4 linked regions of the Lepisosteus oculatus genome follow. The protein of the gene in region 4 purifies or fractionates together with the protein of the main gene of each other region. This does not show direct contact. Links are inferred from orthologs where the notes say so. Each region holds a gene or a part of one and is shown on either strand. Other genes may lie near its edges.

Region 1 (7,739 bases), on a different chromosome or scaffold from region 4:
CCAGCAATGCTGCCTTGCAGCTCTGGGGCCCCAGGGTGCTGTCTGTGTGGAGTCTGTGTGTTCTCCCCCTTGTTCAAGTGGGTTTCCTCCCACAGTCCAGAGACAGGCTGGGGGGGTGAATTGGCCCTGGCGTGTGTGTGTGTGCGTGTCCTGTGATGGACTGCCTACCTCGCACCATGGTCTCCGCGCAGCCCTTCGGGATGTTGGTGGCCAGCGCCAGCTCCACCAGGTTGATCTCCCGGTCCTCCACGAAGTACAGCTCCCCCTCCTTGAGGGGCCGGAAGGGCAGCGCGTCCTGGGCGCCGTACCCACACACCGCCTGCAGGGGGGGTGGGGAGGGGGGGGGTTGTCAACCAAGCAGGCCCGCCTGCCTGCAAATGGGCAGCACGGCACACACACACTGCCTGCTGCTGCTGCTGCTCTCAGAGCGCCGCCCTGCTGGCAGAAACTATGCGGTGCAGCTCCGCCTGCAGGAAGCTGGAACGCCCTGCCTGGGCGTCTGAAATCGGCACAAAAGTCACACCCCTACTCTTCTCGAGAAACACCCTGGGGTTTTTAATGACCACAGAGAGTCAGGACCTCGGTTGTATGTCTCATCCGAAGGACGGCGCCTGTTTACAGTCTAGTGTCCCCCGTCACTATACTGGGGTATCAGGACCCACACAGACCGCAGGGTGAGCGCCCCCTGCTGGCCCCACTAACACCTCTTCCAGCAGCAGCCTCAGCTCTCCCAGGAGTCTCCCCTCCAGGTACTGGCCAGGCTCACACCTGCTGGGCCCTGGGTTAAAATCTTCCCCCAGGCTGGTCAAGACAAGGGCGGGGGGGGCGTCTCACCTCCACGTTGCTCCAGCGCAGCGCTCGGTTGAAGTCCTCCACGGTCAGCTTCCTGCGCTTGGCGTGCCGCATGAACTGCGAGCCGCTCTGCGGGGAGACAAGCACAGCGCCTCAGGAGCCTGAGGGCAGCCGGGCGTCCTCTGCCTGCCCCAGGGACGGGACGTGCAGCGGCGCCCCCTAGTGGTGGAGGAGGCGAACGGCTGCACTTTTAGCGACGGGCAACGGGTCTTCTCCTCTTGTTCGGTGGGAAGGAACGATCCCGTAGGGGCGTGATGTCTTCACCTGCCTGCAAAGCTAACTTGCCCCTATGGGACACTAGGGTGAGCGAAGCACTCTCTTCCTGCCCCAGTGATGCGAGATGGAGCAGTGCCCCCTGGTGGCAGCGGAGGGAACCGCAGCCCGGTCTGCTCCAGCGGCTCAGGCACGCAGCGGGCCCCAGGGATAATAATTATAATTAATAATAATAATAATAATAATAATAATAATTGCTTACACTTATATAGCGCTTTTCTGGACACTCCACTCAAAGCGCTTTACAGGTAATGGGGATCCCCTCCACCACCACCAGTGTGTACCCCCACCTGGATGAGGCGCCAGTCCGCTCCCCACACCAGCTCTCAGTGGGGAGGAGAGCAGAGTGATGGAGCCAGTTCAGAGAGGGGGGTTATTAGGAGGCCATGATGGGTAAAGGTCAGGGGGCAAATTTGGCCAGGACACTGGGGTAACACCCCTACTCTTCTCGAGAAACACCCTGGGATTTTTTATGACCACAGAGAGTCAGGACCTCAGTTTTACGTCTCATCTGAAGGACGGCGCCTGTTTACAGTCTAGTGTCCCCCGTCACTATACTGGGGCATCAGGACCCACACAGTCCGCAGGGTGAGCGCCCCCTGCTGGCCCCACTCACACCTCTTCCAGCAGCAGCCTCAGCTTTCCCAGGAGTCTCCCCTCCAGGTACTGGCCAGGCTCACACTGCTGGGCTCCAGTGGGGCTGCCAGTGGTGAGCTGCAGGGGGATATGGCTGCTGGCTATGGGACTCCTTCACTGAATCCCCAGAATCCCCCTCTCGGACTATACCTGTGTCGCTTCCCTGAGGCGGTAACACACGTCCTCGGCCAGCAGGGCGGCGATGTCGTCGCTGAGCTCCACGCCGGCGCTCTCAGCCATGAGACGAACGGACTCACGCGGCACCTCCGCGAACCGCCTCTCTTCGCGGTCCCCCATCGCCAACGCCCCCCCCCTCCCCTCCCTCTCCCTCTCTTCAGGACCCTCCGGAACAGCACAGGGGGGAAAAGAACTCCTCACAGACCTAGGAGGGCAAAAAAAAACAAAAACAGACCAGAGAGATTGCAAACAGGAGTAAACCTTTCAACTCCTCTTGCTTATAGGGCAGCTCAGAGCTCACTAAGCCTCGATCTCGATTAGCTGAACAACAGGTCAACCAACACGGACTGCGTGCGGGCTTGCTCCACACCTCCACCGCTCTTGGTGTAAAGCAGCATCTCCTGTTTACTGCCCGCGCGGGGCTCCTAGTTTCGCGCCGAGCGCTGACGTGGTCCCGAGGGCCGGCTTGGTCCAGAAAACGCATTTAGGAAGACAGAAGAAGAAGAAGAAGAAGAAGAAGAAGAGGAAAACCCGTTCATGCACACCTCTGTCTCATATCAGAACAATCATATCGCCTTTTTTTTTCTCGCGCGCTGATGTCAAGACTAGGACAGTTCCTCTCGGGGCTTTTCGTTATGTTTTGTCGATGAAAGAAGAGGTCAGACAGTCAGCTCTAGCTTGCTGTTCCTAACTTTGTTTTCAGCTCTCCTGCCTCTGTGCAGCAGTTTCCCAGCGCGCACAAAGTGCAGCGACTTCAGAATCTCCCGCTGGCACCCAGCGCTCACTTTCAGAGAACGCCTTTGAAATAATTCAGCCGTTTTTCGGTCCGGAACCACGGCTATCAACCTGAAGTCCCCATTTTGTCACCTTCAATTTCCAATTTGCCCATATCGACGAAACTCGCCACCAACAGATAACCTGCCGTACTGTGCAGCATTCGTGCAGAAAGCTGGATCGCAAAATCGCAAATTAACTTCATTCTCTCTCGCCTTCTTCCATTTTTAAGCCATTACCGTCAAAGCTCATAACACCTTGCATTTGAAACCCCATGAGGCTGCCCTGTACCTTCAAACAACCGGACTGCCTGTGATCCCCGAACACGGACCCGCTCAGCTCTTCCCCTGCACTACTACATCCAGCTTCCGGGCCCGCGCAGCCCCGCCCTTCCCGCGCAGCGATTGGCCGCAGGGGCTGTCACACAAGCGGCGGCGTGTGACGCAATGAGGGCGCCGCGTGGAATGACGCTGTTCCGTTCGAGAGACGCTGAAAGAGCTTTGCACGGGATTGTTTGTTTTCCCTCTGTTTGAATGTAGATGCATGCACTGAATTAGTGTTTTTTTCAGACCCAAAGCACTGTGCACAAAGGTGGGCACACAGCTACATTCACCACTGAAGAGAAGTCCCCACCTGGGAGACGCACAGTGCTCATTCTGCACCAGCAGCCCCACCTGGGAGACGCACAGTGATCATTCTGCACCAGCGGCCCCACCTGGGAGACTCACAGCGGCCGTTCTGCACAGCAGATCAGGGGGAGGAGAGAGGAACTCCTGCACCAGATGAATTAAGGGAAACTTTTAACAAGGCCGTGTTGTTCAACCAGTATACTGGGGGACACACTTACAGCAACTGACAATTGTTTAAATATATCAAAATGCCCCGAGGTTTAGATACCGCCCTCTTGCTCTGTACACAATGCATGCTTTTGTATTTTAAACACATTTGTAGTGCATCACAGCCATCCTGAACACAAAGAAAGTTTAAGTCACTGCAACAGTACAACCTTGTTTCGTCTGTGCAGCCTCGCTTGGCTGGGTGCTATTGTGACACCAAGGAAACCAGCACCGACTGCAATTAATCGAACAACAAAGCCATCTCCTACCTGGCTTCATCCACATCTGTGTCTTCTCCCACATGTCTTGTTCACAGTTTATTGTGCTTTGAAAATTGGTGTGGTGTGGGGTCACAGATTGCATTGGGAAACTTGAAGAGCACCAGGCTGTGCCTGTAACCCTGATGTTCAGCTCAGGGTTACAGGCTTCAACAGCTCAACCCAGAGTTAATAATAATAATAATAATTGCTTACACTTACATAGCGCTTTTCTGGACACTCCACTTAAAGCACTTTACAGGTAATGGGGATCCCCTCCACCACCACCTGTGTGCAGCTCCCCAGCACCCCAGCTCTCAGTGAGGAGGAGAGCAGAGTGATGGAGCCAGTTCAGAGAGGGGGGTTATTAGGAGGCCATGAGGGGTAAAGGCCAGGGGGGAAATTTGGCCAGGACACTGGGGTAACACCCCTACTCTTAACAAGAACACCCTGGGATTGTTAATGACCACAGAGAGTCAGGACCTCGGTTTTACGTCTCATCCGAAGGACGGTGTCTTTTTTCATTAAAGTGTCCCCGTCACTATACTGGGGCATCAGGACCCACACAGACCACAGGGTGAGCGCCCCCTGCTGGCCCCACTCACACCTCTTCCAGCAGCAGCCTCAGCTCTCCCAGGAGTCTCCCCTCCAGGTACTGGCCAGGCTCACACTGCTGGGCTCCAGTGGGGCTGCCAGTGGGGAGCTGCAGGGTGATCTGGCTGCTGGCTGAGATGTACTCAGAGCCCTCTTGCGGTGTTGAAGGATGTGAGGACACAGAGAAGCTGAAATTATTTTATGGAAACGGATGCATTTCTAGATTCATGCAGACGACACAGGAAAGCAGTTTGAAATAGAATGTTTTTTATATTGTTTTTTTTTTATTCTTCGTAAGATAAAACATTTTTTCCTCCATTTTTCTTGCCAGGATCTGTGACAATAACAAGTCGAAATGCCGCACATTTTCAGAAAAAGAAAAAAAACAAACAAACCCTTTGTACCGATTTATCGCCTTTTTTGGAAAAAAACAACCCCCAAAAGACTCTTGATCCGAATCTCAGGCCCGCCGCACTTGGAGAAAGGGAGAGTGCCGCTTATTTCTGTCGCTGAAAAGAGGAGAAAGGAGACAGAACGTTTCAGCCATGGATCCTCCTTCGGGTGTTGAGGTTAAGTGTTTGAGCTCACTCCCGGAGAAGGCTTCCCTATCCGAAACGTTGTGCTTCTTTTCTTCTCTTCCCAGCAGGGAATAACCCTTTCCTTGTTCCTGTGCAGCCTGCATCTGCTGATGCAGCGCCCTGCTTGAGCTTCTTCTGCAGGTGCTCTGCACCGAGGAGCTGGGTGGGGGGAGGGTTCGTTTCTCAAGGTTTCTGCAGCTTAGAGGTGGTGTTTTATCAGAGGGGCGGGCTCACTTTTATTCACAAATAAAACCCCCGCGGTTTCCAAACACTTGGTGCTGCTCCTGTAACCACTACCTGTGGATGAGTGTGTGACGGATGGGTGGAATTTGATAGAGGGAGAGAGGCAGGAATGGATGGAATCTGATGGAGAGCGGGATAGAGGCAGGAATAGATAGATGGAATCTGATGGAGAGAGGGATAGAGGCAGGAATAGATAGATGGAATCTGATGGAGAGAGGGATAGAGGCAGGAATGGATGGAATTTGATGGAGAGAGGGATAGAGGCAGGAATGGATGGAATTTGATGGAGAGAGGGATAGAGGCAGGAATAGATAGATGGAATTTGATGGAGAGAGGGATAGAGGCAGGAATGGATGGATGGAATCTGATGGAGAGAGGGATAGAGGCAGGGATGGATGGATGGAATCTGATGGAGAGAGGGATAGAGGCAGGAATGGATGGAATTGAATGGAGAGAGGGATAGAGGCAGGAATGGATGGATGGAATCTGATGGAGAGAGGGATAGAGGCAGGAATAGATAGATGGAATTTGATGGAGAGAGGGATAGAGGCAGGAATGGATGGAATTTGATGGAGAGAGGGATAGAGGCAGGAATGGATGGATGGAATCTGATGGAGAGAGGGATAGAGGCAGGAATGGATGGATGGAATCTGATGGAGAGGGATAGAGGCAGGAATGGATGGATGGAATCTGATGGAGAGAGGGATAGAGGCAGGAATGGATGGATGGAATCTGATGGAGAGAGGGATAGAGGCAGGAATAGATAGATGGAATTTGATGGAGAGAGGGATAGAGGCAGGAATGGATGGATGGAATCTGATGGAGAGAGGGATAGAGGCAGGAATAGATAGATGGAATTTGATGGAGAGAGGGATAGAGGCAGGAATGGATGGATGGAATCTGATGGAGAGAGGGATAGAGGCAGGAATGGATGGATGGAATCTGATGGAGAGAGGGATAGAGGCAGGAATGGATGGATGGAATCTGATGGAGAGAGGGATAGAGGCAGGAATGGATGGATGGAATCTGATGGAGAGAGGGATAGAGGCAGGAATAGATAGATGGAATTTGATGGAGAGAGGGATAGAGGCAGGGATGGATGGATGTAATCTGATGGAGAGAGGGATAGAGGCAGGAATGGATGGATGTAATCTGATGGATAGGGGAATGGACCCTTCCAGTCCTGCCTGCTCACTCCACTGTCTAGCTTTGCGTCCAGCTGAGCTCTCAGCTACTCAACCGATCTCCTAATTGACCCGATCATTTAAATAATTAGAAATCACCCAATCCTCTTTAGCTCTATTTAAAACTACGATAATGAAGACTCTGAACCATTTGGCCACTGTAAAGGATGACAAATGTTAAGCCAGAAAGGAATGAAAGAATAAAGGATTTCGGGAAGTAGTGGAGAGCTGAGCTGGAAGAAAAACTGGCCATGGGGTCTCCAACCCGGGTCTTACTGATGGGGATTCAAGTTTGCAGCCAAGAGTATTCATGTTAACAAGCAGGGGATCCAGTGGAAACCAGTGGAAACTGTGTGGAAGAGCATTTAAAATCAACAACAGGAGACATCTGTTTTCACCAAGGGTGGTGGGGGTGTGGAACAGGCTACCCAGCCGTGCTGCTGAAGACCCTGGGTTCTTTGGGCGCCCGAGTCTGAGTCTTTTTCTTTTGGGCACGCGTCGGGGGGGGGGGCCAACAGTGTCTTTGAAATCTACTGTCTCTCTCTCCCATGTGCGCGCCTGTGCGTCTTTTTTGAAAAAAATGATAATAAGTCATATTGGACAAAGAAACAAACTCTGCCCGTTCGAAAAAGGAGAAGCTCAGCGGATCACTGGGCTGACTTCACTGCAGGCGTATCGTCCTTGGTTTTCCTTTCATGAAACAGCCCCCTTGCTAGGTTTCTGAGACACCTGTGCTTTATTCCCTATGCGTGTGTGCGTGTGTGTGTGTGTTTACAGCACACAGCTGGCCCACACAAGACAACTCAACGCCTCTTTAAAATCTAGAGTCCCCCCCCACCCCCCATGCACTGAGCTACATTTGGGTAGAGGAGACCTCGTGACAAAGCCAGTCATTGACTCTGGATCAGGGTTTAGGGGTAAGACTTCGGCCTGGGGTCAGAGGTCAGGGGTCAGGGGTGAGGGGGGATGGGTTGAGGCTGTGGAAGGAGAGGACGCAGCTTTTCCAGGCACAATTCCCAAAGCAGGATCTCGGTCTGAATGGGTATCGATAACAATTCCAGCTGGGTTTTAAAGGTCAAACATCTTGACAAGACAAGGGAATCTATTTCTTCTCCAGCAAAGAGCTACTTAAAGAGACACTTATATACAGATGCGCTACAGGTAAAAGGTTTTTCTTAGTGAATTTCTGCTACAAAAAGCACCAGGGTGTGGAGATGCTGTTCGGGTGATTACTGTTGCCCCTGCCTCTCCCTGAGGCGGGGCTGGGGTAGGACCAGGACCAAGCCAGTTATACTGACCCCCCTGACCGCTCTCCAATTTAGCAATTAGGGAGAC
Region 2 (7,853 bases), on a different chromosome or scaffold from region 4:
TTTTCAAGGAGAATATTGTGGTTTTTCCTCTATGAAACAGCAAATCAATTTACTCCATGAATGACCAAAACAGGGCAATCTGTACTACCTTTCTTACAGGTAATAAAAATCTATAGGGAACTTTAAGTCCCACAAGCTACAAACCACACCTTTATACAGATCACAAACAGCGAATTGGATAATAGCAAAGACTGACTAAAACACAGAACTGAATATCTCAAAACTGTGAGTGCAACTGAATATGCAAATTACACCAACCACAACGGAATTTACTTTAGGAAAAGTAGCGATTATGTCTTTGCATGCAATGAAGATCCCACCATTCACATGGTTCTAATTATGGTTAAGAATGGATGTATTTATGTGTAAATGAAATTGGGCTCTGGTACGGTTCCTCAAGATAACCTAGTTTTCCACCTAGACAGGCCTTGTATGAAATTCAAACACTACTGCCATATTATACTCAATATGCAAACAATCTGCTGCTAAAAGCATGAAGGAGTGGCTGTGTGCAGTATTGTGAATTTGTTTTTCTCTTGTTTTTTACATTAGACTATAAACTAAATATAACTCTTACAAAACAGTAGCTTGTCTTCATGAACAACACATAATACACCACACCAATCATCTTTTAGAGAAAATTCATAGAGATTCCAGGATTGTACAATGTAATTAAAAACCACAATTTTAATTGGGTAAGCAGTACGGTATCTCAGCCTTTTTAGGTAGAAAGAGAGGATTCTGAAATTGACTAGGGTACATTTGTACATAGCATAACTTTTTCAGAACCAATTGTTTGGCTAATATGTATTGTCTATACAGGCTCAAGTAAGGAGGCGCTTGGACTTCAACCGAAGCCCTGCAAAGCTGTGGCACTGCATTGCTGGTAGGAGTTGCCTCACTTATCAATAATGCAACATATTAATTGGAGACCTGCTCTATGACATGTTGGTTTCTCTAATGCAGCTCGCAAATGATTCACATCTGTTCACAAGATGTATACATGGAAAAAAGAACACCAGTAAACTCCAGCCAGCTCTCCCAAAGCAGTTGTGAGAAGTAGTGGTTAGGGTTCTGGACTCATCACTAGAAGGTTGCGGGTTCAAATCCCAGGGGTGGCATTGCTGTTGCACTCTCACATTAAGTACTGCTCTCAGATTATGCCAGTAAAACACCTATCTGTACAAATGTCAGTGGGTTGGAAAAATCTATCAGTAAAATAATATGTAAATATGAATTATTCCTAATTCAACAGCTATTCTCATTTGTGCTACCCATAATGTATGAAAAACATAATTTTACACTGAGACAAGTTAATGTTAATTATATGGTACCATATTCATACTATGAATATAAATATATCATGCTTTGAGTTTATAGACAGTGCTTATTTTGAAATTGTACACCTGCCATTGCCTATATAGAAAAAAGGTATTTTATAGTTTTCAACGGTTTGTTTTTAATTCTATAGAAATGACCAATCCAGCAGGCTGATATTGTCCTCACAGGAATAAAGAGCTAACATGTGGCCTGTCTCTTACACTATGAGGCTCTAGCTCCCCTGGGCTGTCACACCTGATTGACTCCAAAGACAAACAGGTTCTGCCCAGTTCATTAAGAGCCTCAAGGAAGTAACTCTGCTATGCATGCCGAAAGTCATCTGTCCTGAGAAGCCAGGACATGAAAGATCATGTCCCAGTTCACACAATCAAGTCCAATGCAAAGATGGAAAGAGTAAGGTGTCACAACTCTGCCATGTTCTCCCAATCACTAGACCTAAACTCCACTGACAGTATGTAAAAGCTATCCTTGACCAACCTCTTACATGCCTCGAATTAATCTCCTGAATACATTCTCCGTTAGAATGAACAAACCAGGACACAGACCTCATTTATGTAATCTCTGAAAGCAGTCCTACCTTGCATTAGCTACCACAGAGTTTTAACCCCATCGAAGTTCCAGTAGAGCTTTGTAAAGCTGTAAAATAAGCAGAACTTCTTTCAAACCTGTGTGCCTATTTGCTTATGACAAGCATCTCTGCAGGGACAGGACTTTGAACAACCTGTTTGCTACGCCACCAGTAAAACTACTAAAACTCTTTACAGGTTGCCACAGAAAACGGTGAAGCTTGAAGTGAAAACGCCACGAACTGCTGCTAACTGAGGCATCATAAACTAAACCTTATGATGCCCTAATAACATAGCAAGAGCTTTTCCCCCAACAGACGCCAGCTTATTGGCCGGGGGGAAAAATGACGCACGTTAAATCGCACCTTCCTGAACACTTCCACAGCCCACGGAGCGTCGTACATCTCCGAGAGGCATATCACTAATATCTGATCCTAATCATGACTTCTCTGTAGTGCCACGCTGAAAGCCATCTACCGGTGCGCCAGCATCACGCTGGATGTCTTGCAGACCGGCAAGCAGCCCTGCGTGTTCCGTCCACAGCTGTAGTGAAACTCGAGCGGCGCAGCGGCAAAGTTTATTCTATGGGGAAGTTTATCGGGCAAACTCGCACACAAAACCCAGGTTGTAAGGACTTGGAAAGTGTGCCTGGTTCTTGTAACGCGTTGTCAGTGCGTTACTTCAAGCCTCCTGTGTGTATGAGTCTGAAATTAACACCATTCGCCTCTCAACTTACCTTCTTTATTGAGTCTCATCACTTCCCTGCCTTTGCCAACCTCTTTGCCAGTCTCTTCTAAATCTACATCTGCGGACAAACGCAAAGAGAGAAACGTCAGGAGTGTTCTCCAAGTAAATCTGAAAAGTGAATTGCCTAATCTCAGTTATTTTGTGTACCTGGCCCACATAGGTGCGAACGTACGGCTACAGTACAGAGCAGACAGCAGTGCAGGACATCTGTCACAGAGATACTTAATACAGAGATAACGTATCAACGGGAAACACGGCGACACTTAAAACTCAACAGCAGCAAACTGTGAACCCCTTTGATTCTACATACTTATTTGATTTCTCAGGCTGTGTATTTATTATAAAAAGAGAAGCATGGAGGACACCAGTGGCCACTCTAACAATTTAACAGCGTTGGAGCACAATTTGAATGACTCTGCGTGGAAAACAAGCTTTATTATGCCGGGTCCTTACTGTCAGAGCAGTGTAATTTGGCTGCGTCGATAAAGGTGGACCAGGGTTTGCACAGGAACGCATCCGGACTGGGCAGTTTGCGATCCAATGTCGCCATTGCTCTTCCTTCTTGTTGCTTTTTTCCCTTTCCTTCGCCAGTCAGCGACACGGGACTTGCGAAGCACCTGACGTCACATTCGGCTCATTTCGGCTTCAGCCGTCAGTGACGGCTGGATGAAAAAGAAGTGCAAATGTGGGAGAGATAGTTCAGTAAAAAAAGAAAAAAGTTTAATCTTTTTTTTCCGGGCAAGAGAACAGCACAGTATAGATCTAGAGCTATATTGTTGTATTTGACCAACATTATTTCTACAATTTCTACAAAATGAGGAATATTTGCAGTTGTAAAAATACTGATTCTTGTCGCATATGTTAAAATACAAATGTCTGTGACGTCTATGTGATGTTATTGAATGTATATCCTATAATGGGATTATATTTTAAAATAACTGTTATTAGCCACATAACTTGTTTTTACAAAACGCGCAATTATATTTCTAGAATATGTTACTACATTACGTTTACAAAAGCAGGTTGCAACAGGTCTGAAAACCATCACGCTCAGTTATCTTAATTCCCAATTCAAGTATCAGTTGAAGTGCTGGGAACAAAAATTAAATGTAAATTAAAATTAATTAACTGTGGGTGGCATAAAATTGAAATCGTCTTGCTCTGTGAAATTGTTTTAAGACTGATTATCACATTTCAGATTTCCATGCAGATATTTGAGCGTTACATAAAGGAACCACTTTATCTATAATTGTCGCAATACAAACACGAATGAATGTTTACCAAGTAGACATTTTCGAACCAATTACGTCATTCCGAATGTAATCACTAGATGACGCTAAATTACCATATTATTTATAGTAAAGTTCATAATGTATTACTAATGTAATGTAAATTGACATTCCAAATTAATTGTGACTTTCTTAGTTAATTAGTTTTAGCCATTCAGCTGAATTAAGAGAGAACCACATAAAACATAGGTGTCCCACTACTAAAGCCTGGCACTCTCACTATTCCTGGCTCAGCGTTGGGAGATGGATGCCCGGAAGCCCACCTACCAGCGGGTCCAGGAGAGACCCGACGGCATAGGCTTTATCACAGCGTCTTGACCATCTGACTCCGGGGCTCAGAGGGCATGGCCTCGTCACCCTGGTTTTTACTCCCTGTTCCTGTTCCGGTTTTTAACTGTGTTTGTTTAGTCTTGGTTGGATCCCCCGGTTTTGGACTTTGGACTGCACCCCAGATTCCCCCTTTTGGACTACCTGAACTGTCTGTCAACACACCCTGGTCCTCTTCGTCTCCTCCCCTGATGTCCTTCTCCACTTACTTCCTGATTATACCGTCTGCATACGGTCCTGAACTACGCATCGCTGGAGCCTGGACCGGCTTCCGTTATAGTATTCCTGCAGGACTAGGACTGGGAGCCACTGAGCAAGATCAGGCATTGAACAGGCCATGTGCATCTATGAGTTTTCATTCCAGCTCATCTCTTATCAAGCTAAACTAGGTGGTTACTGACTTAAGCTTTACTCTTCAGGTGCTGCGGTTGTGAAAACCTGCAGACACATCAGCCTTGCAGGACCAGGAGGACCAGGACTGGACACCTCTGATCCAGATCAAGACGTCTATCAATAAATAGATGAATTCATTCAATAACATGGGCTAATATTTAAATAGACATCAAAAAGGTATTCTGTTTTCCAAAAGTTTAACAATTACCACACTGACTTTATTACACAGGAGAGGTTGTGTAATAAAATTAAATTACACTGGACAACATTGTTTTCCTGCATACATTTGGGTAAATCTGATGGATTTGGGGCTGCTGATCACATAGTAACCATGGAATTTCCATATCACACAGCATTTTTTTAAAACCGCCTATATTTGTTATTTCAAATAATATTTTGGCCTATTAAAATGTTGCCGTCAATATAAGCTGGAAAAGTTATTTCTTTCTTGTGTCCAGACATGCCTTTGTATGCCATTGCACCCAGTGCAGGTCATAAAACACTGGAGTAGTAATGCATCTGTGGTGATCTGAAATTAGTGGCACTGCTACTAGGAATGCAGCTTGGATACACCAAGTACTGTTGTTTCATTTCTGAGTGGCATAGTTGTGCTAAAGATTCTCATTACACTAAAAGGGACTGGCCACTCCACAAGCATTTGGTTCCAGGGCAGAAGAATGTAGCACATAAACCACTTGTTGATCCAACAAAGATATTTTGCCACCTCTTCACATCAAGCGTGGACTCAAGAAAAATGTTGTGAAAGCAATGAACAAGGAAGGTGAAGGATTTCAATATTTGAGACAGATCTTTCTAAGAATAAGTGATGCCAAGTTTAAGGAAGGTATTTTCGTTGCTCCACAAATCAAATAGGCCATCAATGACAGACAGTTTGAAGAAAGTCACATGGAAGGCATTCAAGAATGTTGTTGAAAACTTTCTTGGCAACTACAAAGCACCAAACTATGTCCAGTTGGTTGACAACATGCTTCAAATATACAAGTCCACGAAGTGCAAAATGTCACTAAAGATTCATTTTCTTCATTCGCATTTGGACTTCTTCCATGCAAATCTTGGTCAGTGACAAGCATGATGAAAGGTCTCCCCAGGACATCACGAAGATGGAAGAATGGTATCAGGGCAACTGGAATCCGTTAATGCTGGCTGATTATTGTTGGACATTGATCAGAGAAGCATCAGATACCGAGTACAAATGAAAATCATCCACAAAACATTTTTAGCTCAGTTGAACTAATGCAAGGGCTCAGCACCATTATGTGATTAAACGCATTATATTGTATAAAAGTTCATTTATTTTTTCTCAATAATCCCACATGATACAAACAGTCTGAAATTGTATTTTTGTTCAACATCAAGAGATCTATCATAAACAACAAACATTTCTGAGGAAACAACACTTTTGAAAAAAGTTGTAGTCCAGTGTTATTATTTGATTGTGTTGAAGAAAAAACTTTTATGGAATTTCTCAAACTACTGAAACTGCCAATGGGAATGATCAGTGAAACCACACAAATCAGAAAATGTCAATTATTATCAGAAGTGAAACTGTCTTTTCACTGATATTGGAAAAATATATCTATAGATATCACTCTTTAATTAACTGAGGTATCTTCAATTACAGTATTTATGTTTGTTGGTCCACATAACAATACAATGGTTGTGCAGAAGAGGAGAAGAATGCCATTTTAAAAAGAAACAAATAGTGTTTTCAAAAGAATGATCTAAAATGTATACGTTGTTCATAATGCATAAACAATATTGCAGTTGATTTGTATAAATTGGGAAGACCAGTGGTCCAAATACAGCAAATATACACAATTTGTGCATTTACAGTATGCAAATAATTATAAGCATATTAAGCAGATCTTTAACAGATAGGTGCTATAAAAAGCAGCCCTTTAAAAGACCAAGGTTGGCTGTGTTTGAGCCACAAACGGCTGTTCATACTTCCCTGCAATTTTTAGTGCATTTTATACTGCTCTTAATTGGTCTTCCAACAATCTCGCTAACTTGAATATATTTACCCTTCACCTGAAGAATACTTGTGCTTCAGCAGTTTTATGCTTTGTCTTTCTACCTTTTTTTCTCAGGCTACATTATTCAACAAGGAAGTGATGGTGAACTTCTGTTGCATACAGTTACCAAGGTAAGAGTAAACATAACTCTTTTTATGACAGCCTGTAAGCTCTTGTGAAAGATATTTCTATTTATTCGGTGACGATATTAAATAAAAGAAAGCACACTACCATGCCTGCTCATCAGTCTTTTATTTTCCAGAGAGTTCTCTGTGTACCATTTATCTCACTTAAATTCAACTGGCTGATATGATTCATATATCAAGCGTTATTTTACTTGTTTTTCTTCCACTGACCTCTTCCATTGTAGTTGACCTCTAAGATCTCAAGTACCAATAGAAAGAACCTTTTGCTATCCATTTCTATCCATCTATAAATAAATACATTATGCAGCCTTCTTGTTTACATCTAAATGAAGAGGGCACCAGTCATCTTGGCACAGGGATTGACAGACAAAATCAAACATATTTAAACTTGAATGGAAGGAGGAGGCAAAGTAGAGGGGAGATGCTGAGGGAAAATATGACACATCAGTTGGAAAATTAAGTGAATAAATCTAATTATGAGTTTTAAAAACAAGATGCATGACTTAGATCTTACTAAAGCAGCAGGCAATTATTATATTATTGGAATCACAAACACCTGGTTAACATTGTACAACAGGAAACAATATTAGTGCATGCAGTGTTCCAGAGAAACAGAAACAAAATTAAGCAAACATCACTGTCCTTCATCCTTGTTAATTTCCTACAGCTTTTGTTTATGGGGAGGAACCAAACACAATCACTGGCCACTCCATGCAAATTCAATTAATCACAGACCATTAGCCTTTCCACTTCTTCCTGCTGGCATTCTGTGAGCATGACCTCTATGCTTTAACCACATTTTCTATGAGGACCAATCCGACATCATCATTAGGCCTAGCAATAGGACCTCACCTACAATATGGTTTGATCCCTCACCTACAATATGGTTTGATGCAGAGCTACACCTGCATCAGACCTTCTCCTTTTACTGAGTTACATCATAACCACTACCTCACTAGCCCAAGTCTAATTTGAAGCATATTCTGAACACCACCTGAGTTTTGTTCA
Region 3 (7,320 bases), on a different chromosome or scaffold from region 4:
ATAGGGTTGACTTTTTGAGAGAATTGGGCACCCGGCTTCAAATAAAATGGCAGAATCCAAATGTCTGTGCTTGTTTGACAAGCAGAGAGTATTTGTTGTGCTTTTAAAATCTTTAGTAATTTCTAAATTAAAAAACATATATACGAGTGCCCTTTGGAGCATTTTCTGTCCTTTTTCTAAAAGACCTTCTTGTACCAGACCCTAACAACGATACACTTGGCTCTTTCTTCCTTGACAAAGCCCGCTCGGACAGCTTCACTCTTACAAACATTTTGGCAACTAAAACAAAAACGAACAAACTCAGAGAACGAGAATAGAAAAGGGAGATGCATATACAGTATTACAAAATAACTCCCCCCCCCCCCCCCCCAAAGGACTCAACAGGCCAAATGAATATCCCAGCTGCCTGAAACTGTACAAAGCAGTTTCTTTCCTAAAACAGAAATGACACTTTTTCTCTCCGTGCATTTATCTCTCAAGACAAAGCCAAATGAATCCAGCATGACTTTTGGATTGTAGGAGATAAATGTTAACAATAGCATGGGTCTCCCTCCCTTACACAAAAGGCGGTGCCTCGTTGTGACTTCAAAGTTATTACGGAGATCTTTTCCATACACGAGTGACGAAGAGCTGCAGTAAAACAGCACCCACATTGGTAAGTTCAGGGATTGTAGTTGAGCCCTGGGGCAAAGATCACAGGAGAGAAGCAAACGTTGTTCTTCAGTTACTCTGTTATTGCCATTTTGTTTTCTCGCATGCTCAGCTTTAAAAAGGCTTAAATAAACCGCAAACAGCTTTTGACTTCTTTCTTTCGCCAGTCCCAGCATTATCACGCTCCCGTAGAAAGAAACAAAAAATAACGTCCAGTAGTTTGGCCCATTCGGAACTTACAGAGGTCAGACACAGCACACAGAACACCTTGTGAAAAGTAAACCACACACAAATTGGCAATGAAGTGAAACGGGCAACGAAGTAAGACAGACTAAGAGGCGTCCCGCGATATCCATCCACTCTCGGTGAGGAAGTTCAGAATCCTCTTTTTGAGGACTTTGTCCAGGTAGCTAGGGAGACGGCTCTTGGAGGGGATCCCCTGGCGCTTCTGTAGGTGGTCCTTGATTATGATGGTCTTGGCCGTCAGGTAGCGTGTGGGGCTGAGGTTCAGAGAGTTGCAGAGGACCTTCTCCCGGTCGGAGAGCAGCTCGAAGCCGGACAAGTTCTCGATTGCGGCGAACTCGCTGTCCTTGCCCTCCTCTTTGCCCCCGCCACCACCACCGCCGCCGCCGCCCCCGCTCCCACCTCCTCCGCCCCCTCCCCGTTTGGACTGGGCCACGCTCTTGTTCTCCTTGCGCTTCTCCCGCTTGTGCCGCGCCGCCTCGTACTCCACCGACTCGTCCAGCCTGGTGATGCCGTTGCGCCGGTAGCGCTGCAGCTCCCGCACCTTGGCCCTCAGGACCCGCTCCTTGTGCATATTCTCAAAGAACTCCTCGAACTCCCGGCAGGCCATGAACTGGCAGAGGGGCCTCAGCTTGAGCCGCTGCTCCTTCTCCTCCTTGGTGATCTTGCGCTTGGGGGCTGGCGTCGCGGCCGAGGAGCCGGCCGCTGCTGGCGGAGCCGCCGCTGCCACCACCGCCGCCGCTGTCGCCGCCCCCCCGGCAGCCGGCTTCTCCTTGTCCTTCTCCTTCTTGTCCTTGCCCAGGAAGGCCGGCACCAGGTTGTAGTCGCGGGCGATGGTCTTGCGCCGCTGCCGCTCCCTCAGCTTGCGCACGTACATGTCCACGTGGGCCCGCTTCATCTCGATCTCCACGTCATCGTCATCATAGTTGACCGACAGCCCGCTGATCAGCGTCTCGGCGTCCTGGTCGTACTCGATCTCGTAGTCGTCGCGCAGGGGCATGTAGCCCAGCTGCTGCTGCTCGGCGACGGTGATGTCAAGGGGCGGCAGTGGGGTGGTGAGGCTGGGAGACAGCGGCCCCCCACTTGGACATGTGTGGTCCGTCACTCGGTTTGGGATGCTGTCCGGGATACAGGCCTTGCCAAGGTTACCGTGGATGTACATGGTCACGTAGTGCTCCATGACTTCCTGTGGCGTCCTTGAAGCTCCAACATGGGCTGCCATGTCCTCCTGGAACAATACAATTGCGTTAGTGGGGCAATGATACAAATCTTTACACAGGCAGCCATTGTTACAGAGAAACTACACACGTCTTAGTATTTGCTTAGCCAATGGCCTTATCTGGCATAACTCAAAACATACAAAAACTTTCCCTCAGTAAGTAACAATCATGCAGATAAATTACAGAACTAAAAATTAAGCTTAGCACAAACAGAACATGCTGTTTTATGCAAAATAGAACAGTAAGGTTTAAAATGATATACAGACATTGTGGATACCAACAGCACTGAAAACTCACTCTCTATCACCAGTGAACAATGTTCACTGGACTAGGGCAATGTTCACAACAAAGTCCTAGACATCCATGGAGAAAATCTATTCACAAGCTTTCTGTAGGCAAAAATACGTCGTTCCTGTAAACTGGAATAATTGCCTGTGGTTATATCTAATTGCATATATATGGCAGCAAACAAATTGCTAAATCGCACAAGCACGCAGGTGTCTGTTTATGGATATTCTAAGAAAAACTCTTAATAATGTATAGTGTAGTACGGGAAGAATTTATGTTTTTTTTACTTTCTTGATGGTGCAAAACACACATTCTTTACACAGTCATTTTTACTATAGCATTTAAAATCTCACGTATTTGCGATGCGATAGTTTTTTCCACTCGAAGCGTTCAAAATCCTAAAATGTTTAAACGCTCTTAATAATCACAGGTTTTTATTTTATATAAATCTTTAATTTGACGCGTTTTCTACATTCTCAGAAAACCGACAAAGTAATTTTTGATCTTACCTATAGTTTGGCCAGTCCTCCTGATTGAAACCGATTTCAAATTAACTTTTCACTCACTCACAAACGTGACATTTGCTGAAACAGAACAATACTGGAGTACTGCAATTTCAACTGTCACCATCAAAACGTAATCCTCTCTCTTCTTCTCCATCCCGTGGGAAAATAAAAGAAAACTTACCCAGTTTCCAAAGCCATATTGCTCGATCGCATCCAGTAGCGACTGCTCTTCCCTGCTGGTCCAGCCTCCTTCTGCTTCGGGACCCCAAAGAGTAAAGCGTCCCCCGTCTACTTGCTGATACCCATGCCATCGCCGATGATTGCCTATTTCGGCGCCTGCAGAGAAGCATTCTGGACAGAGTTCGATGTCTTGGCACTCGGTGCAACGAAGCCGCAGGTTCGTTACATCTGCTAGACAATTAACGCAGTACTTCTTGCCCAGGTCGGCCATGTTGCAGGCTGCTGCTGCTTGTTGTTGAAGCTGCACAGCCTCCAAGGCAGGCGCATGCGCACTGAGCAGCTACCGCTCTGCTCCCTGCGTCTCATTAATATAAATATCACGCGCATGCTGGTTGGGTCACGCCCCCGTTTCTGGGGCAACCGAAAGACACCGCATTAGGTTTATAAAATAGTTGGACAGGAAAGGTACAGTAGGTGTAATTTCTAGGTGATTCAGTTTTGGGTTCTTTTTTTTCTTTTTGGACCCAGTGTTTAGTTTGAGCTAACTTTACAGCTAACAATAGATTTACATTTATTTTACAGCGGGATAGGAACAAATAGTGACTTATTATTCTTATATTATTTCGTACTGCGATGGAGGCGTCACAGCCCCCCAAACTCGAAACTGTTGAGGAAACGACAGAGTACCTTCCTGAAGCGGAGAACACTAACGGTTTGTCCCAAACCGAAAAGCAAGAAGAGACATTCGAGGGAGAATCTAATGAAGCTGGAAATAACAATGACTGCACTGCTGAACTGCTAGCTGAAAAGGATGGTACCGAGGCTGGGACGGAACAAAAGGAAGAGTTGCCTGAAGTTAACAGTGACCTTCCCGGCACCAGACAGGGGCCAGCAGATGAGGTTTCAGGTGAGTCTCTAGGAGGACCTGCCGAAGCTGAAGCTGAAACCTTAGAAGAGTTAAAAGGAGATAGTGCTGCTGAAGATGCATCAACACCTGTAAAAGAGGAGGAGAAGCAAGTTGTGCCTTCTAGTGAAGTTTTAGCAGAGCAAGAGGAGGAAGAAGGGCAGCAGATCATAGGAGAGCTGCTGTCTCGAGAGGGCAGCCCAGTGGCCCAGCAGGAAAATGCTCCCCTAGAGCTGGAGCTGGAGGCGCCAGAAAGAGAGACAAGCCCAACAGAAGAAGAGGAGGAGGAGGAAGAGGAGGAAGAAGCCCTAAGCATAAACTATGAAGAATACATGGAAAGGTACAAAGAACTTAAGAAGGAAAAGGCGAATATTATCCAGCAGAGCGGTCAGCTACAGAACAAGTTAGTGGAGTACTTCCGCAGGAAGACAGGGGAGGAAATCCGTCATGAGAAAGAGAAGCCAGTCTCAGATCAGGAGCAGCGCTACCTCAAGTACATGTCTACAATGGAGGACCTGAAATGGCAGCACAGGCGGGACTCAGAGAGCTACCAGCAGCAGATCAAGGAGCTGAGAGCCCAGTCCCAGGAAAAAGTGAGCCAGGTGGACAGTGAGTGGAAGGTCTTCATGGGCTTCAAGAAGGAGGTGGCAGTGTCAGCCATGAGCCGGCGCCTAGGAAAGCAAGCCGCTGTCGCACAAGTGGAGCAGATCCAGGCCAATGAGCAGCGGAAAGAGAACGAGCTGGTCCAGGTGAGGCTAGAGAACATCAAGCTGAAGAATAAGGTCAGGAAATTTGAGGCTATGCTGAAGGCTAAGGAGGAGCTGGCTGAAGGGCTGCACCTCATCGACTTTGAGCAGTTGAAGATTGAGAACCAGACGTACAACGAGAAGATTGAGGAGCGCAACGAGGAGCTCCTGAAACTCCGGAAGAAGATTACCAGCACAGTCCAGGTCCTCACCCACGTCAAGGAGAAACTGCAGTTTGTCCAGGTGGAGAACCAGGCAAAGAAGGCTCAACTTACAGAGGTGGAAGCCCTGGTAGCTCGGAAGAGGGACATCCTCACCAAGACCAAACAGGCCCGTGATGCTCTCCGCACGGACAACCTGAAGCTCCGGCAGAAGTGTGGCCTTCTGGGAAATGAGACCTTGCTCCGGGACTTTGAAGAAAAGGTAGATGCCTCCGAAGCTCTGAGTCAGAGGCTTGAGATGCTGAGGCGCCGGCATGCTGAGCTGACACTGAGATGTGTAGGACTCAAGAGAAAACTAGAGCAAGCTAAGCTTTCACGCCAATGAAAAGCAGCAGATGCCAAAAATAACAAGACTCTGGACCCATTTCCTTTCATGGTCAATAACATAAAATAAATCAACCCAAAAAATAACTAAAATAAATGGTGTCAGCTGGTATTTTCAGATATTTCTTATATAGTTGGCTATTTATGTATGAAAGGGAGATATGATTTCTCTAAGATAAGTCAAATCTACAGTTTAGTAGTTGTGTACCTGACATTCACATTAGTCTCCTCATCATGAAAAAATTAAATTGATGATTTATATCAATTACTATCATACAAAATGTGAACAGATTGCCTTCCAGTTGAGATAAACACAGTTGAGATAAAGCAGAACTCTTTTTAAATTAAATTATTTCAGGGTGAACCTCAAATATTTTTAAATAAATTTTACTCATATTCATTTTATATTTATTGTTGTCCGGGTCACTTGTGTGTAGATTCATATTGTGTATAATCAGTTGTCAACCTATTGCTTAAATGGCAATCATCTAAAAGTCTTATTGACTAAATATTTTATCCAGCTCTCTTCCACTGTATTATCTCATGCTTTGGGTTGAGTGGAATTTTAAAAATCATTGGCCTGGGGTATCCAGCTCCTGTCCTCCACTTCCAAAGTGCAATTGTTTGTTGTATCACATTAAATCATTTCTTAGATGTGGGGACACAGTTCAATTGGCCAAATAATGCAATAGCTCTCTTAATCTAATTTGAGCAAAGATACAGTTGTTTTTAATTGAAAATAACTTTATGGGTGACATATTATTATTCAGCATACAGGAGCATGACGTCTCCTTGTCCATTGGGGTGGACACCGAAAAAATAATGTCATTCTCAGGATGTGCATATTTCAGTATAGAGTATTTTGACCTTACTGCAACTTTTGCTTTCCTGTATTTAATCTCATTCCATTGGAAGCACTATTTGATTTATGTTAACTTGAATCTTTTTGCTGACCTTAAGTGTCCTGTGTGTGTTTCTTCATTCAAATCCTCCTACTGTTCTATTGCTTTTTAGGATCTAGGAAACTATTCTTATAACCAAACTGTCTGCCATTTCTATACATTATTTTTTAATGGAATCTTGTTCAGCTTTTTCTAACAGAATAAGTGTTGATTCTGACTTGTTAGTGGTAAAATGCTTTATTTTTTTAACAAGCATTAAAGAGAAATTATTAATAAAGGGTAACAGAGCACTTACATTATAATTTTCTTTCAAATTTACCTATCAAGGCAAAGAAAGACAATAACATAAAACAGAATGTAAAAGGAGTAGTTTCTACCATTTATCTAACTCTATTGTTTCAGCTTTTTGTATTGCATTCCCTTTTGTAAGTTTTGTGTGATTTTGTTTAATACTTCATCCTCATGTTATTTGCAATTATATCTAACTATTGTAAATATGATTGAAAAACAATAAGAACCTGACAGACCTGAAATAAAAAGTACAATTGGGAATATGCAGTTTTTGCTCATGGGATTTTCATAATTACCCCCCTTTTCACTCTTTTCTTTACACTTTCTGGCAACTAGTTTTCAGAAGTCTTTTCAGAGAATTCTCGTATGTAAAAGTTTTCTTTTTAGATCAGTAAATAAATCAAATTCTAAACTGAAATTATACCAATGAATTCTACAAACCACATAGCAGGAAAGTCAAATCAAATGAAACAGAAAATCAAGGTGATAAAGACTAGTCCTTTAAATACACTACATTATGTGGATAAGTTCTGGCACAGGGCTTGGTTGCTAGACTCATCTGTAGTTGACTGCAGCAACACACTCACTGCTGGTCCTAGTTTGATTTAATCATCTCACTAAGTCACAGGGGATTTTACCTTTAGTGCTAAGCAAGCCAAAGGAGAAAAGGCTGTGCCTTTCCCCAGGGGATCGAGGCCAACACCAGTGATATGGGCTACAAAGGAGAAACATTATAGAGGAGCTGGAAGAAAAAAGTCAAACTTCTCAGTCAGCAGTTTATTTTCAAATAGGCTACCCTGGTGAGCAAACAGCTGTATTACGTGTTCTTTCTGCACTCTGCAAA
Region 4 (7,387 bases):
GAAGAACATACAAACACCGTGTGGATGGCACCCCAGGTCCAGGATTGAACCCAGGGCCCCAGTGCTGCAAGGCAGAAATGGTAGTAAAGACTGCACCCTCTGTGTTGCCCCCATGTGATTATTAGAGCCCTTAATTACTTTTTGTTGTTGCACTGCTTCCAGCATTGGGGCTTTCTTGCTGCTTCTGAGCCCAGAACACCAAATGGAATTAGGAACGTGCTGCACTCCAGTGAGTTGACATTACAGGATACAGACTTTACCGAGAACATTCAAATTTGCACTTTATAATGTACAACCACCACACTGTTAAAGTACTTTGTTAAATGCTCCTGCTGGTTATTTTTCTTTTGACCTAATACCACACCCAATGCTTTAGTTGCATCGGATTTGTGTACAGAACGTTAGAAACTTCAATATAAGATACCAAAGAAAATATCAGGCCTCTATTTATGTAAATACATGTAGGATTTGCACTCACCAGGGGTGTCCATCCAGCATCTTTCTGAAGCACCTATTTTGTCACAATGAAATAAAAATGTACAATACATGTAAGAAGTCTTTTCATTGCCTTGAAGTCACTATTAAACTGGATACAAGAAACCCTTAAAGGCCCTACTGTCAGGTTTAACGTTCTACATCAAAAATATCCAGTTAAATGCAACACAATTCACAATACTTAAGACCCTAACACACAATATTGAATTGAACAGCACAAAGCAAAACTCCGCGAGGAGAGTGATCTATGATATCTGGAGGTGGATCAGGCTACGTTTGGGGAAATTAGAACTTGACAGTTTTGATAAGCAGAGTGTGCATTCACTGTATTTTTTCCCCATAAGGTGGAGAGGGGGCTGGGATATTGTTACCAATACTCCACTGTGCCTTCTTAATAACTCAATTCCCCCACACCCTGCATGCTGTGTGGGCCAGGCACTTAGCACACGTTTGGAGTGGAGGACAGGGGCTCCGGCTGGGGCTGTGGGAGGTGAGGGAGAGGTTATGCAATAATGGGTGAACTCGAAACAAAATGCATTAAAAAGCAGACTGCAGCTCAGAGCAGGTAACCGGAGACCTGGGGGTGCACGGTCAGCAAAAAAAGGGGGTTACAGGGGCCTGTCCCCTACCGAAGGAAGGGTCCTGTGGAGGAAAGGGGCGAGTTGTGGAAGGGGTACAACGGTTCTTCCCCCTCCTGTTTACAACAATAGGTGCTTTAGCGGAGGTGCGGACTAAAGTGGAGGTGCCGGGTTTGAGATTTTTTTTCCCCGCCTGTACAGAAACCAAAAAGAAGGCGACAAACACACCGGTCTTTCGTGGCGACGCAGGTCGGTAAACAATGCGCCGCTGGGACTGGAACTAGTGCAGTTCGGTGTCCTTGTCGCCGCCCGGGTCCCGAACAATTTCCCCCACTTCCCAGCACGGTCCGAACCGTGGAGTGGGCCTCCTCCCCCCCCACCACCCCACGCACCCTCCTCTCTGCTCCGGGACAAGCGCGAGCACCCCCCCCACGCGTGGAATCCGCCGAAATTTTAACGCAGGTGGCGTGAAATGTTCTACTTTCTCCCCCCCTCCTCCTCCTCTATGCGTGACCGCCTCTCCCCCTCCTCCTCCTCCTCTCTCTATCTGGTCCGAACAAAAACGGCTGAGGTGGTGGAGAGGCGCCTCGCCGCACCAATTGTACACACGCAGTCCAGGTCGGGCTGCAGTACCGGAGGCAGGAGACCAGCACCGCACAATGCAGAAAATGGGCATATTTTTGAATGTCGTTCGCGTTTCCTGGTGCTTAGTGGTGCTGTGTGTTTTCCCACAAGGCACTGCTGGCTCGCCGAACATTTTCAGTGACCGTCTTTACTGCGTATGCACACAGCAAGACGACACTTCACCAAGAAAACCCCTTGGCCGGGGGGGAAGAGGGATGAGGTCGGGGAGAAAGCATTAGTTAGCGTTTTTGGTGCTGATGTTTTGTTTACCGTTAGGTACCTCTCGCCTCCCATCCAACACCCCCCAATTTCAATCAGCGGAGCTCCACACATAACGCTAATCATGGTCCTGCTGTGTTGTACATTTCTGTCTTTTCGTACACCGATACCCCAAGCGAATGATGTCTCTGGGATCTGTGCTTAAATGAAGGCAACTGTGGAACAGCTTATGCATAACTAAATGTGCATTTTGCTTTTTTTTTGTCCTTTTTTTCTGGTTCATTTTTTTTTTACCTTTCGTTTCCTGGTTTCTGCAGTCCCGCTCCACACAAAGCACTGGTATATGAGTCGTAGATTCTGTTTCCAATTCTCCACCTTAAAACTGTTCACATGGGAGCACCCGGCCGGACTCATGACAGAAACAACATTCAATTTATTGTTTTTTGTTTTAGATAGGTAGAGCGTTTCGGAAAGAAATATCCAGAAAGGTTTTCCGATTTAAAGGGGCAGCCAGCCGAAATCCGTGGTAACTGGGACTTCCGAATTAATCCGTTTTTTTTAAATTAATCTCTCTGTCTCTTTAAATATTCTCCAGTCTGTCTGTCTCGTCCGCTCTCGCTCTTCCACTTCCACTCTCCCGATTCTTTTTAATGGTCGGCAATGGAATTCAACAGAACACCGCGAGCTTTGAAAGTCCCGCCTCACGCCCGACCTCATTGGCCACCGTCTGCAGGCCGGCGCCGCGGATTGGCTGGCGTGGGTGTCGTTTCCCGTTAGAGCCACGCCCTTGTGCGGTAAACGTTCCGGCCCGGGTTGGTGCTAGGAGACGTCATTCGCCATGAAGGCGGGGTTCCAGCGGATTCCCAAATCGACGATTGGTTAAAGACGGAGGGAGCAATTGCCGAGGCCGTCTGAGGATCCGTAGTGGTTTCGGTCACCACACATAAGAAAAAAAAAGAGAGGTGTTCTTCCTTTAATGAAGGGTAGAACCTGCTGCAGGGAGAGATGTTATACGTATAGGGGCAGCCGAAGAAGCGCGGTCCCTTTCTGGTTGCTGTTAAAATAAAAAAAAAAAACGCAGAGACACGAAAGCGGGAGGACGTTTGCAGAAATGTAACGTTACAGACATCCGACTCCCCCGCCCTGGCAGGCTAGGCTGTTGCTTCGCTGTGATTGGCGTAGCCGAGCTGGTTTCCCACACCGCTCAGGTTGTTGTGTGGGTGTTCCGGCCGTGTCGTTTTGCGTCACTTCCGCCGCTGGTTCTGCGTGCTCAGTTGCCTGAGAGATTTCCAGCGGAAGCAGCTCAGCCGGGGCTGCGCACGCCGGCGCTTCAAAACAATACCGCCGGGTTTGCCAAGCCGTCACGTTTTTCGGAAACGGCTGCCTTGTCCTCCCCCCCTCCCAGTCGTCTACCCTGGCTCCCCTGCTCCAGAGTTACACTACCGCTGTGGTGGCAAGCTTTAGGGTTAGCTGTTAACGACAAACAGCGACTCACGTAGAGGAGGAAAAAAAAACTCAAACGCCAGGGCTAGGTTTTTAAACAGACGCAAAGGCGTCACCTCGCTTGCGTTCCTGTAGATTTAAGTTTGGCCCCTCAGTTTTAAAAGAAATAACCCAGTTTGATTTGGAATACATATTGGCAGCTGTTTTCAGGAACAAAGTTTCGAATCAGGCGTGATTTTGTACAGGGGATACTCAAAAATTGCCTTAACTCTGCCATATCGGAACGGATTACGTCAGATGTTGAATGATTGGGCTATAATTTCCCAAATTTAGACAGTAATACATTTTATTGAATATATAACATACACTGAAGTAATATTAATAATACAGTACAACCAAGTCTTGGAACAGTTATTGAAGCTGGTAAGAAGAGGTTTTGGCATTACAGATGTAAACATCCTGATGTAGGCTTTGTCTGCCGAAATGTTGACCGCATTTAAATATACTTTTTGGAGAAGAGAGAATATAGCAACACGGATCATCTTAATGTTAATAATGCTACAAGGGGGTGGCATAATCAAGATGGACAGTTATAGCTGCAGTTTACTGCAGTAGCTTCCAAAGTCAAGTAAAAGAAAAAGCCATCTCAGTTAAAGGTTAAGGTGAAGTTGTTTCTAGAAAGCATCTTCCCAAGTGACATGGATGGATTAATGTATTGGAAGGATTCATCCTAGCTTTGGGTATTGAACCCATATTTTGGTTAGTTTAACATATGCAGAGTAGACTTTAGTGCTCTCTCTCTGCTACAGCCAATTGCTGAGCATGTGACAGACAAAACCCCCTGTGTTATCAGATCAGGTATATGGAAGTCTACTTCAGTGTGATCTTGTCCACATTGCCTTTCAACTGTACCAACCCAGTATGAACCCCTGCAAAAGTCACGTGGTATATTAATATACCTTCTTATGAAAACCCATTCTGCACAGCTTTTCTTGTGGACAGGTGGACTAAATTCACCTGTTAAAAACCTGAGCAACATGGAATGTATACAGAAGCTCCATTAGGGAAGGGATGCTTTCTCCCTTTATTTTACTTTAGTTACCATTTTTGCTTGGAAATTATGAGAATACTTCCCTTTAGTGCTTTAAATTCTCCATCAGTTACTTATATACGCTGTATACAAAAGATGGCTCCAATCTAAACTGCTTTTGGGGGCTGATTGTACCTTTCTATGTGTGTCAAGTCTGGAATAGGAAGTTGATATACTGTACATGTCCTAATATTTTACAATTGTAGGTCCCAGTGGGAGACTCACAGAAAGGATTCAAGCACACCACAGCACAATTTGCAAACATATCAATCATAAACATAATGAGTACGTGTTTATATACTGTATATTTTGTTTACATATATATAAACCCCATTTATATACCAGTGGTCTGTAGATCAATCTTGGGGCAACATCCATGTCTGGTTTTCCTTCAAACTGGGCCCTTGATGACCAGTGATAATTGATGCCTGTTACTGATGTTGTTTAAACATTTTGCTGGACCCAGCACTCATCAGCACATGGTTTCAAAAACACCCTAGTGAAAATGAACAGTTTCCAATAACTTCAGCATGGATAACTTTACTCCATCCCTCCACAATCTAGTTAAGAATTTGCTCCCTTCTTTGCGATGAAAACCCCTTTGTAGGTGACCGATTCAAGATAAGCACACGCAGGTGGGAAAGACACTTAAGTGTTTGCTTTTCCCTCCTGCTGAAGTCTAACTCGCCGCCTGAGTGAGAGGGGGGTGTTGAAAGGGGAATTGAGTGAAAAAATAAAAAACACCCAAAACAGAAAACTGAAATACATTTCAATTAAGGACTTGACTTAAGGACAGATAATGTAGTGGTCCTTCAGGACCAGGTTTGAGAACCATCGAGTTGGACCAATCTATCCGAATGAATCTTTTTAATCTCACTGTAATCAACCCTAAATCAGACACCATTGGGATATGGCACTATAATGAATGGTGAATATCCTGTATTCTTCAATTCTAAACAACCTTTTTAATCTATGCTTATTAAATCTGATTACAGCTAATAAAATATTGTGGTAACCTGCCAGTGAGATTACAGATTTGTTGTGCATTGTCTTGTAAATGATCCCTCTTTTAATGATGCAAAACGTTTCGTATAATATCCTAAATATTAGTGTTGGAAGATGAATTGTGAAGCATAGCAAGGTGGAGTAAGTGGGTCCTGACAGTGAAACCCCCTGGTTTCACAATGATGTTGCAGATGCGACATTGCCTGTCTGTCAAAGATGAGATCAAGTGTAAGACCAGGATCATCACTGAATACAATTAGAGCACATTCCAAATGTCTGGAATGTGCCCAGTCACCCCACATTTACCTGTGTTGTACACAGCGATATTGTTCATGAGTAAAAAATATTAAAAATATCTGTCTTACTCCATAAACCTTGGATCTGTTAGCCACTTATAATATCCAATAACCAAATGAGCTGCACTGGCTGAATGACCTCTACTTGTTTGTAAACATGCTCATATTCAATTCAAGTACTGTTTCTTTTTTCAACATAGGAGTTTGTTTCTGTGGTGTTTGTTTTAGCCACTTCCAGAAATCCCCCCCCCCCCCCAAAAAAAAAAACAAACAAAAAAAACAAAACAAAACAAAACCAGAAATCTTTTATTTCCACATTCCCCAACGGATAGCACCGAATGTCTTGCACTTGCTTTCAAGCAATTGGTTTGCAAATCCAACGGTTCACTTCGGATGGGACGAAAAAAGAACAACGAGCGCCCTCTTCCGGCTCTTTTCTTTGACAAAACGTGAACTCCACAGCGTTTGGACAGATATGAAGAATTTAGTCAATCCTGAACTTCCAATAAGCACCCTTACAGACAAGCACCACCTGAGAGCCATCATTTTTGCATTAATCGAGTGTAAACATATGTTTATATTTCAAGTGTGACGATCTAAAAATGTAGCAAATTTTGCTCTGTAGGGAAAAAAAACATTGCTTGAACAAGAACTGCATACATATTGCAAAAGTTTCAAACTGGGAACCCCCTACCAAAACATAACGCAAAAAATATAATGGTCACGAAAATACAAAAAAATACACGGAAAAAATAATAATGTGTAATTCTTATGTGGCGAAGGTGCATTGTAATTTAAGGTACAAGTCTGCCCTCCAATGCTAGACAGACGAATTACACAACGCTTTTCTGGTGCTCCAGCTCCCCGCTAACTTCCGTTTTTCAATCCATCTGAGCTCGTAATTGCTTAGGCTTATTAAACCCACAATTGGAATCGAATTTAATTTCAAAATTATATTTCTTAAGCACGTTTTCTTCCACTTCGTTATTGATTTCGGATATTCCCAGATGTTAGTGTGTTGATCCAAGATATGTAGCAAACTGAGCTCTGCCGTGTTCTCCGCCTTCGACACTTGGAAACTGACCTGCCTGTTTTGTGCAAACGTCTCAGGTATCTTCTAATGGTGGTTATCCGAGTGCCAGAAGCCTCCTGCATCAATTCAATTAAAAGCTGTGATCCAGTTCTGATTTAGAATTGTAATTGGTGTGTAGATCGATTTAAAGCAGGCCCCAAGTTTGCTCAATAAATAGCTGATCACCTATTTCTGTCTGATTAGCTCTTAACAGAACACCATTTAAAGATATACGGGTAGGGAATTGCTCTGTATTTAAAACAAATGCAATTAACCTAATTGATTTTGGATAGGTCCAGGTGTTCATAGATAAATAATGTGCCCTATTCCAGGATTCAGTTTATTGAAATACTACATCTGAGTCAACAAAGTGATTATTACGGGTTCCCGACTTCTAACAGGAGCTGAAATAAGAGCTAATGAAGCAAATGGTTCCATGACCAAAGGCTGCAGTTACATCTCTGAGCTCTGCCCTGGAGGGGGTTGCAGGTTCAAATCCCAGGTGTGACACTGCTGCTGTTTCCCTGAGGAGGCTGCTTCATCTGCACTGATCCTGGAAACTCCC

What was found.
Region 1: the proteins of usp22 (region 4) and taf6l purify together in Homo sapiens (affinity purification with mass spectrometry; 3 studies listed by BioGRID and IntAct, with this or other methods). This does not show direct contact. The link is inferred for Lepisosteus oculatus from reciprocal best matches to the Homo sapiens genes USP22 and TAF6L.
Region 2: the proteins of usp22 (region 4) and atxn7l1 purify together in Homo sapiens (affinity purification with mass spectrometry; 3 studies listed by BioGRID and IntAct, with this or other methods). This does not show direct contact. The link is inferred for Lepisosteus oculatus from reciprocal best matches to the Homo sapiens genes USP22 and ATXN7L1.
Region 3: the proteins of usp22 (region 4) and tada2b purify together in Homo sapiens (affinity purification with mass spectrometry; 4 studies listed by BioGRID and IntAct, with this or other methods). This does not show direct contact. The link is inferred for Lepisosteus oculatus from reciprocal best matches to the Homo sapiens genes USP22 and TADA2B.

What each region holds. Positions count from the first base shown.
Region 1 is NC_090713.1:21,503,627-21,511,365, reverse strand, and holds the start of taf6l (TAF6-like RNA polymerase II p300/CBP-associated factor-associated factor 65 kDa subunit 6L), read right to left. Parts: upstream 3,083-7,739; 5' UTR 2,495-3,082; coding exon 2,484-2,494; intron 2,144-2,483; coding exon 1,912-2,143; intron 922-1,911; coding exon 835-921; intron 320-834; coding exon 169-319; intron 1-168. UniProt on the Homo sapiens protein: Functions as a component of the PCAF complex. The PCAF complex is capable of efficiently acetylating histones in a nucleosomal context. The PCAF complex could be considered as the human version of the yeast SAGA complex.
Region 2 is NC_090702.1:39,511,831-39,519,683, forward strand, and holds the start of atxn7l1 (ataxin-7-like protein 1), read right to left. Parts: upstream 3,398-7,853; 5' UTR 3,205-3,397; coding exon 3,108-3,204; intron 2,713-3,107; coding exon 2,644-2,712; intron 1,951-2,643; exon of another isoform or gene 1,926-1,950; coding exon of another isoform or gene 1,919-1,925; intron 1-1,918.
Region 3 is NC_090696.1:42,383,044-42,390,363, forward strand, and holds the start of tada2b (transcriptional adapter 2-beta), read right to left. Parts: upstream 3,415-7,320; 5' UTR 3,360-3,414; coding exon 3,090-3,359; intron 2,123-3,089; coding exon 983-2,122; 3' UTR 1-982. Other genes in the region: cfap184 (cilia- and flagella-associated protein 184), read left to right, coding at 3,722-5,284. UniProt on the Homo sapiens protein: Coactivates PAX5-dependent transcription together with either SMARCA4 or GCN5L2.
Region 4 is NC_090714.1:4,545,709-4,553,095, reverse strand, and holds the start of usp22 (ubiquitin carboxyl-terminal hydrolase 22), read right to left. Parts: upstream 3,123-7,387; 5' UTR 2,331-3,122; coding exon 2,211-2,330; intron 1,320-2,210; exon of another isoform or gene 1,302-1,319; intron 512-1,301; coding exon 479-511; intron 1-478. UniProt on the Homo sapiens protein: Deubiquitinase that plays a role in several cellular processes including transcriptional regulation, cell cycle progression or innate immunity.